2 linked regions of the Arabidopsis thaliana genome follow. The protein of the gene in region 2 interacts with the protein of the main gene of each other region in a pairwise test. Each region holds a gene or a part of one and is shown on either strand. Other genes may lie near its edges.

Evidence for each region. Proteins that work in one complex are often made in the same cells at the same time.
Region 1: the proteins of AT5G52380 (region 2) and VND7 interact in a two-hybrid assay, tested with the Arabidopsis thaliana proteins (one study listed by BioGRID).

What each region holds. Positions count from the first base shown.
Region 1 is NC_003070.9:27,073,003-27,078,496, reverse strand, and holds VND7 (vascular related NAC-domain protein 7), read right to left. Parts: upstream 3,796-5,494; 5' UTR 3,455-3,795; intron 2,478-3,454; exon of another isoform or gene 2,304-2,477; 5' UTR 2,293-2,303; coding exon 2,127-2,292; intron 1,712-2,126; coding exon 1,440-1,711; intron 1,205-1,439; coding exon 668-1,204; 3' UTR 506-667; downstream 1-505. UniProt on the Arabidopsis thaliana protein: Transcription activator that binds to the secondary wall NAC binding element (SNBE), 5'-(T/A)NN(C/T)(T/C/G)TNNNNNNNA(A/C)GN(A/C/T)(A/T)-3', in the promoter of target genes (e.g. genes involved in secondary wall biosynthesis, cell wall modification such as xylan accumulation, and programmed cell death).
Region 2 is NC_003076.8:21,260,817-21,265,146, reverse strand, and holds AT5G52380 (VASCULAR-RELATED NAC-DOMAIN 6), read left to right. Parts: upstream 1-1,995; 5' UTR 1,996-2,085; coding exon 2,086-2,382; intron 2,383-2,601; coding exon 2,602-2,743; intron 2,744-3,007; coding exon 3,008-3,099; intron 3,100-3,196; coding exon 3,197-3,293; intron 3,294-3,447; coding exon 3,448-3,626; 3' UTR 3,627-3,794; downstream 3,795-4,330. Other genes in the region: AT5G52390 (PAR1 protein), read left to right, coding at 1-40, 260-589, 676-866; AT5G52370 (28S ribosomal S34 protein), read left to right, coding at 3,944-4,207.

The sequences.
Region 1 (5,494 bases), on a different chromosome or scaffold from region 2:
TTTTGACGGTGGCTTTTAAGACCTTCTACGTGGATCAGAAGGTTTTGACTTGGACTTCTTAATTGAAACCTCTTACTCGATGAGAGGGTTTCTCAATTAAATTTATTTTTTAACTCATTTTTTTTATTTATTATTATATGCTCAATATTGATCATGGTCAATTTTTTAAAAAATATGAATAAAAAGTTTTTTGTGTTTATGTTTTTTTTTTGTTTTTTTTCATCACCTTCTTCACATGTAAACATTTGTAGTACATATTAATACGTACATTAATTAATTATATACATGGTGAACATATGATTTCGATTCAAATCGTGCATTTTGGGTTTGAGTTACAAATTTGAGGTTTGATTTGAAATTTTGAAAGTTAGGAGTCTGATCAGAAATTACAAGTTCTCTTAACTAATAGGCCACCACTCAAATAAAAAATTAATGGGGGTAGAATGTATGGATGAGTTACAAATTTGGACAACAGAATAAATGAATAGAAAAACAAAGGGACTAATTTTTAAAAAAAACAAATCCACCTTTGTGAAATTCAACAACAAATTTCTACGTAATAAACACAAACTTCTTTTACAAATAGACAGTTATAAATGTTATTTTCCAGATGGAACAATTAAATCATAGAATACAAATCAATATATAGAAGTGTGTTTTTTTTTAATTACGAGTCAGGGAAGCATCCAAGAGAATGATGAATATTAGCTTCGACCTCATTATAGCTTTGATGCATGGAAGGGAAGCTTGGCGCCGGATTATACGACTGCGTTTCGAACATAAGAATATTAGGGTTATGCGGATGTATGACTTGTGTCTCAAGCAAGGTATCTAGTGTTCTCCAATCCACACAGTTAAAGCTCTTCTCTTCTTCTTGCTCGAAACTCTCGTTCTGATCTTTATTCGTCCCTAAACTAGGCGACAAGCTCGGGCTGTCCAACTGCGGGAGCTCAATGTTGCCATATTGATGCATCGATGAGGATGTATTATTAGGATTGTAGTGGTTATTGCTCATGAGCATTTGATTAAGGTTATGACTTGATGAAGATGCACCGATATGATGACTCGTGTTCATTGTCACTGAAGATGAGTAGTTGTTACTACTTTCGACGTGGTAGAGCTGGTTCTGCCATGGCTCGTACCCTAATGGCCTCTGGTTTGGAATTGGCTTCCTAAATGCTCGACACACCACCCAGCCTTCCTCCTATAGTTCACAAACATATAAAGTTATTTAGATAACAAGTTATTGATTTAGTCCTGTTTTTTTTTTTTTTCTTTTTTTTTAATTTTAAACATTATTGAATCAAATGTCGTCAAACATGTAACATTATTGCTTAGGTTTGATAGACGGAGTATGTATTGTACTATTTATTAGTAGTTTTTGGATGATTGCTTTGATAGTGAATCGCGTATCAGTCAGAGTCTTTCAATGTGTATACCTGAACCGGGGCAAGCTCGGAGTTTTGGAGACGGTATTCGTGCATGATCCAATCGGACTTTCTTCCATTAGGAGCTCGACCCTTGTAGTAGACAAGTGTCTTCCGCATTCCGATGACACTGTTTTTTGATAGTACCGCCTTGTCTCTACCCGTGGCTTTCCAGAACCCAGCCGCAGTGGCTCGGTTGGTCCTAGTCCCGGTAGGGTACTTCCTGTCCTTATGACTAAAGAAGTACCACTCGTTTTGCTCTTCATACCCTAGTTTACACCTCGCTGCAAATGTAAAACTAAATATTAATGTCATAAATTTCTTACATTACAAAAGGTCAAAATATTAGAAATTTTATGTTTCTTTAAAAAAAAAAGAGAATATTGAAAATTATGTAGTAAAGTAATTTCTAAATGTGATATGATTATACTTTTCAACCGGTTTAATTTCAAAAGAAGTATTATGATTTATGATTGTACTATACATCTCTTAATTTCTTTGTGAAATTCTTTTCACACTCCGTTTATGAACATACAAGTCAAAGAAAGTAGGCTCTCTCAATCACTTCGCATGCCAAATTCATCACATATTATTGGTTTTCAAAACTTATGTCATAACTAGACAATTTACTGTCATTCCATGCAAAGGATTAATCAATGATAATCATTATACAAAATCCACGTTGATTAATATAATTACCTTGTATATCCCATGGCTCCATTTTGTAGAGATCAATCTCTACAATGACATCTAAAGCACTCTTCATTGAATTGATCTTCCTATCTAGGTAATAACCCACAAGCTCTTCCTCTGTCGGATGAAATCGGAATCCCGGTGGCATTGACGATTGCATTATATTATCCATCCACGATGATCCTATAAACGTATTTAATTTGGAAAATTGTTAGAGAAATGAGTAAGAAACAAGATGGAGAAGTGGCAGAGAAGAGAATGATATGAAGGAAAATGAAATGTATATAAACATAAGCGTGTCTTTTTGGAAGCTATTGCGAAAACCTTAGACAAACAAGGCACAACCTTAAAGTTTTGTATTTGGGACCAAAACCAAAGCCTATTACAAGCTTCGTTATATTTAATTATAAGAAAGGGATCGAATGGCTCTTGGGTCCAATGAAATTCCAAAAGCTGTATGTTGGGTAATGATAGTGATGTTACACACGGACGCACACGATAATATACTATATACCTATAAATATACAAACACATATATATATATATACATGTAACTAGATATTATATCCAAAAGCTTGGATCTTTAAGCTTAAGGCTATCGCTATTATATGTTGCTGATGATGGTTATGATGTATTTTTATGGGACCACCCAACAATGGAGGAGCTGTTACTATTTTAAAAGAAAAAATGCAAAAGCTTGATAGAGAAAGTTTTTGGACCAGAAAAAAATATTAGGTTTAAGGGTTTGTTTCGCCTTCTACATACCGAACGATGCTTATAAATGAAAAGATTGAAACTTTGTATAATATGTACTATATATAATGACATAAGGTAGTATTATAAGACCAAAAATATACAAGCAGTACTGTATATATCTGTAACTATATGTAAAATAATCGTATATAAAGGCTATGTAGCCGAAAAGCTTGACGGGTGGAAGTCACTGAGGTTGGAGTGTGTTACACACTCTTTGTCTTGAGTTATTTTCCTAGACTATCTATATAATATAAATTATATTATGGTGCAACAACAATTAATTTCCAAGAAACAATAATATCTTAGAAACACACATAGATTCCGAAATCCCCACCATGATTGATTTCAATTCCCCAGTTTACTCTAATATTTGTGGGTCAATCTCAACAGGACCACACACATGTATACTATTCAAGATATGAAACGATACAAAACGATACTATATGTAATATGTATGTATTTTTGAATAATAAAAACGTAAAACACAAACGCCGATGTATCATCATCTGGTTCGTGCATGAAGTGAGTACAGCAACAAAACAAAAAAACCCTAAAAGGAGCAATGGGGTGAAACTTACGAGCTAATAAAGATTGGACGAAGGGCTTGTTATTTGCAAGCGATTTTCACAAGAACGATCTAAAAGAGAGTAGCAAAAGGAAGAAGGAGAGGAAGATTGAAATCTCTGGTGGTGTGGATCAAATGATTGTTAATATAGCAAAGACAAGGAGAGTTTGGCTTTTGATTAGATCACATGCATATGGACCAGCTAGAAATCTTAGAGTGTATATATAGGTTTATGCGAGTATGCTTAATTATATGTATATGGTAAGTGTGTGACATGTGGGTGCAAAATGATGATATAAGAAGAAGGAGAAGAAGAAGAAGAAGGAGATGAAGGAAAGGTTTGATTGCGCGTGGGATAGACATCTACGGTTTGTTTTTGGTCGGCGTCTCTCTCTCTCTCTTACCGCAATTTTTTGTTTAAAGTTTTTCCAATCTTCTCCACTTTACCGGCAGTTACTGCACAAGCCAAACCTTTTTTTTATTTGTCTATTGCTCATTAGTTATTATTACATCACACAAGACAAATCCTTTAGATTAACGGTTTTTATGTGGCGTAATTAGGTCAAATGGATGTTCCGAATATATCCAAAAACTTCAGTTTGATTGGATAATATTTCATAACACGATTCCATGTATTATCAATAAAATCAGATGACAAAAAAATTACGTTTTGAATATAATTAATCTATTTTCTTAAAACACTATGTTCAGCTACACACCATAAATTCTTATACCATGTAAGATATTTTCAGTAATAAAACCTAGTTATAAATTGTGAGTGGCTTGTTGGAAATTCACAATTCAAGGATTAAAAAGGACTGGATTTGTAAACCCGAAGAAGAACTACAGAAATATATTCCTATATGTTTGCTGGATCAGGTACTGATGAAATGTGTCTTAGTTTTAGTATGTCTTATTAACCCATAGATAAGACACGTAATACCTCAAAGTTGTTGAGATATTACTATTAACTTTTTTGTCAAAGAGATATTACTATTAACTTATTAAGTATATAAACATCTCAACGTCGAAAGGATTTACACGCATGTACATTTATGGATTACTACGTAAATCTCACTCAATATACCACCGCAGCTAATTTTATAATGTGAGTCTAGCTAGATCCACTCGAAACCACAATCTCAACTTTTTCTTAAATGATTAAACTAAACTCAGATTTATAGTAAACCTAAAGGAACGAACATTGGCCATTAAAACATCAGGAATCGTGTATATATGAACATTATATTATGAAAGAAAAAATAAGGAGAAGAGTAAAACACAGGAATATGTTTCATATGTTCTTAAGTCTTTCTCCAGCAATCCAGCTCCCATTGTCTGGTTTGGTGGCGCCGTCCTTAACACGTGTCATTACGAATGTAAGACACGTAAGATTCAGACCTGTTTCTATCACATAACTAATCATTTGTTCCTCATCTGATTTATCCGCTTGCACGGGTCCACCCAAAGCCGTTGGCTGTCGTTTCTTTTACCTCATCACCTTTCGGCTTAAGGTGACGTCATCTCAGTAACTCTTTGACCCTAGTCCAAAGAAAAATCCAAAATACTTAACATATGACAAGGTAGACACAGAATTCGAGGAGAATGGATATATAAAACAGAAAAAATGAAAATTATAACAAATATTGGGTACCAAAAATAGAAAAGGCAAAAGAGGTAGCACTTGATTTGGAGTCAGATTCACATGCATGCCTATTTGTCTACTGCGCGAGGGAGAGAGAGCCTTTTGTTCAAATCCCAAGACCATCTATCCATTAACCCTTTCACACCATTCACTTTTTTCGTTATATAAATGTCCCTCGATCCCTAATTTTCCTTTCTCTAATCATAGTGTCTCTAAGTCTCGTTATACACACACACGTATATAACAATATAACCCCTAATTCTTTGCAGTCGAACCATATTTATGGACTCTTTTATGTATGGCAATATGGCATATACGAGTTACGTTCACCATGTAGAATGACTACGCTTTTTTTCTTTTTCTTTCAGTTTCGGTTTAGTTTGATACTACTAATTTTGGATATATCAT
Region 2 (4,330 bases):
TTTATGATTCTCCTTGCCATCTATTCGCAAACGACGTTTGGTAAGTTTATTCAAATCGCTCTATATATCAAAGTTATCCACATACAAGCTAGATATAGTTCTATTATAAAACATTTTGAACTTACATCGTAAATTTTTAACAAATCCCAATTAGCTTTCTCGATTGTATGTTCAGCTTAACTAAGACATTTTCAAAGGTATGTTATTCTTTTGTTATTCCATGTACAAATACTAAGTAGCATTGGAATTAATTTGGTAGGGGACGATGTGAAGTGCGAGAATCTGGATGAAAACACGTGTGCCTTCGCGGTCTCGTCCACTGGAAAACGTTGCGTTTTGGAGAAGAGCATGAAGAGGAGCGGGATCGAGGTGTACACATGTCGATCATCGGAGATAGAAGCTAACAAGGTCACAAACATTATTGAATCGGACGAGTGCATTAAAGCGTGTGGTCTAGACCGGAAAGCTTTAGGTATATCTTCGGACGCATTGTTGGAATCTCAGTTCACACATAAACTCTGCTCGGTTAAATGCTTAAACCAATGTCCTAACGTAGTCGATCTCTACTTCAACCTTGCTGCTGGTGAAGGTACGATATTGGTAGACCAGTACGGTTATATTACTTTTCTCTCTCTAATAGATTATGGTATAATTTATTTGTTTGGTTTGCTATAGGAGTGTATTTACCAAAGCTATGTGAATCACAAGAAGGGAAGTCAAGAAGAGCAATGTCGGAAATTAGGAGCTCGGGAATTGCAATGGACACTCTTGCACCGGTTGGACCAGTCATGTTGGGCGAGATAGCACCTGAGCCGGCTACTTCAATGGACAACATGCCTTACGTGCCGGCACCTTCACCGTATTAATTAAGGCAAGGGAAAATGGAGAGGACACGTATGATATCATGAGTTTTCGACGAGAATAATTAAGAGATTTATGTTTAGTTCGACGGTTTTAGTATTACATCGTTTATTGCGTCCTTATATATATGTACTTCATAAAAACACACCACGACACATTAAGAGATGGTGAAAGTAGGCTGCGTTCTGGTGTAACTTTTACACAAGTAACGTCTTATAATATATATGATTCGAATAAAATGTTGAGTTTTGGTGAAAATATATAATATGTTTCTGTTTTTGGTTTTTAATGTTTAAATTAAATTCAAAGAAAAAAATATCTTTTGTACAACAAGTGCAACATTTTGTTTTAAGAAATAAAGCTAAAAATCAGTAGTTGATGAACTCAACCACTAGATTCATACCAAATTTGAAGGCCTTTTATGGTAATGTCTATCACCAATGGCTCATATTGAGGACATCCTGTACCGTTCATTAATTGATACTAGAATGGCAACAAGTAGAAAATGTAGAAATTTGGGTATCTATACTCCAAAAATGATTTCAAATAACCAAAATTCAAAAGTTTGGTTATTCGTACTCAAACGAATAATTGATCTCAAATACTCGAATTGAAAGTACAGGTGTTAGAATGTCTTACGTTAAAAGTATGTACATTAGTTTTCTTTATTCATAATCAATTGGTTTTTGAGTATATGTTTATTAGCATTCGAGTAACCAAAAGAATACGTATATATTTCGATTGGGTACGGGTATACGAACGCCAAAAGTTTAAATGCATACCGCTAAATATTTAGGAACTTATTAGAAGGCAATGTGCCCATCCCTAGACCCTAGTTGATACTTGTTAACATGGTTAGGGAAATGTTCTTATACAGTGGGATAAGTTTTGCTATGCTTATGTGAGTAAGCTAGGCAATAGGCATGAGCGAAAAAAAAAAAAAAAGTTAGGCATGACCGGCTCCAACAAAACTTTGACTCTGACTCTGACTGTTCTAAAATTTGAAATAGGCCCATTTAAAACACAATATCCCTTAGCAAGATTAGGTATATGAATATTTGGGTCTATTAACAGTGGGCCAGATGATTGAAGCCCATTTAAATCACAACATCCCCTAGCAAGAGCTTCTTCAACGACCAAACAAACTTGTGTCTTCCTCGTCTCACTGCCTCCACCGCCGCCGGCGAAATCAATCGTGTCTTTCTCTAATTACAGTAGTCAACAATGGTGAACCAAAGGAGAAGACTTGCGCAGAAGCGATACAAGGAAGCTAATCCAGAGCTGTTTCCAAAAGCAGAACCAACGCCACCAAAGGACCCTAATAAGAAGAAGAAGAAGAAAAGCTTGTTCAAGAAAAAGAAACCTGGATCTTCCACTGATAGACCTCAGAGAACAGGCTCTTCCACAAGACATCCTCTTCGAGTTCCTGGTATGAAACCTGGAGAAGGCTGTTTTATATGTCATTCCAAAACCCATATTGCTAAGCTTTGTCCTGAAAAATCTGAGTGGGAGAGAAACAAGGTTTGTTCTTTTCTTCTTTAATCATTGGTTTTGGGATTAGGGTTTTAGTTCAATTTAGTTTTAGATTTAGTAGGGTTTTGGCAGCTCTTGTTAGAATCAGTTGAGGGTTTAATCTTTATGAACTCAAAGATGAAATTTTTCATGAAATGTTGGTACTTTGATGATCACTAGACTTGTTGGTTACTAGAAAATGAATGTTTTTGGTTTTGTTGTTTGTAGATATGCTTGCAATGTAGGAGGAGAGGGCATAGTCTTAAAAACTGCCCTGAAAAGAACAATGAGAGCTCCGAGAAGAAGCTCTGTTACAATTGTGGAGATACTGGTCATTCACTTTCCCATTGTCCTTACCCTATGGAAGATGGTAATTTTTCTCTTCTCTGGATCCGGAATATTTATCTTTTCTCATATTACAAGATTTCAGGAAACCTAGCATCGAAATTTGTATTTTTTTTTACCTCTGTACACAGATATTTGACTTATGATCTGAAGTGTAGTTCATGTTATTTAGAGAGTTTAACATTATATTCTCTGAAAACGTATTTGAGGCTATACTGTCACTTGTTTGTTTGTTTGTTAAGAGTAGTCACTAAGATTAGATTTGGTTGCTGTATTGATTCTTTTGTAGGAGGGACCAAATTTGCAAGTTGTTTCATATGCAAGGGACAAGGGCACATAAGCAAGAACTGTCCCGAAAACAAGCATGGAATCTACCCAATGGTACAATGCTCAAATCTTGTTTCGAGCCTTTTCTTTTCCTCATAGAAGATGAGTTTTGATATGTTGAACAATGGATTTGGTGGGCCTTCTTTTGCAGGGCGGGTGTTGTAAAGTGTGCGGGAGTGTGGCGCATCTCGTCAAAGACTGTCCTGATAAATTCAACCAAGAGTCAGCCCAACCAAAGAAGACTTCAAGTAACATTTTCTTTTGTCTCACTCTTCCAATTCTTGAGCTTCTAATTATGTGATCCTAGTCAAGTAGTTTCTCTTTCAAGTGATTCGGAACAGTGAATGCGATCTCATTTATCTTATAAAGACCATAATTGTATCTCCCTGACTGAAATGACAGGATTTGATGCTACACCAAGAGGAAAGCTCACTAAGTTTAGTGGGGACGATCTTGAAGACGATTTCACTGAAGAGCCCAAAAGCAGCAAGAAGATCAATACCTCTGATGATTCAGCTCAGAATAGTGTCGAGGTGAAGAAAAAGAAACAAGGTCCAAAGATTGTCAATTTCGTTGGATGATCACAAGAGGATCGAAAAGGGTCATCAATTTTGTAGGATATATCAAAAGTTTTGTTTTCTAATCTCCCTTTTAGTCTTGTGTAAGAACAAAAAAATCCTAGTTATTCAGAACAATGCTATGTAATGGAACCACACAGCCAATTCTGTTTCAGATAATCTTCTAAACCGAACAAAACCCACCTAGAACCAAATTAATTATAACATATAGTCTGTTTGTGAATAAACCAAAAGTTGTGCTTCTCCTCCTCAACCTCAGTCGCCGATCTTCAACAGTGGCTGAAACTTGAGAGAGAGAGAGAGAGGAAGAGAGCGACACTATGGCGATGACACTTATTAACAGAGCAATCTCTAGAACCGAAACCGTTGGTGCTTTCAGACTCTCGCTTAATCTCTTAAGAAATTTCTCTGCGGCGCCGGCGAGTGAAAACCCTAGCTCCGATTCGAGTAAACCGAAACGAAGAAAGAAGAAGAACTTAATCGAAGTTGCTCAGTTCTTACCTAATTGGGGAATCGGATACCATATGGCTAAAGCTCATTGGAATGGAATCTCTTATGAAATCACTAAGATCAATCTCTATAAGGTTCTTCTTCTCCTTGTCTTTCATCTCTGAAAATTGAAAAGTTTACATTTTTCTTAAGCTGAGAAAAAGTTTCTGTAAACGAAATCATTTGGAGTTTGTTTATCTGATTAGGGGTTTTGTTTG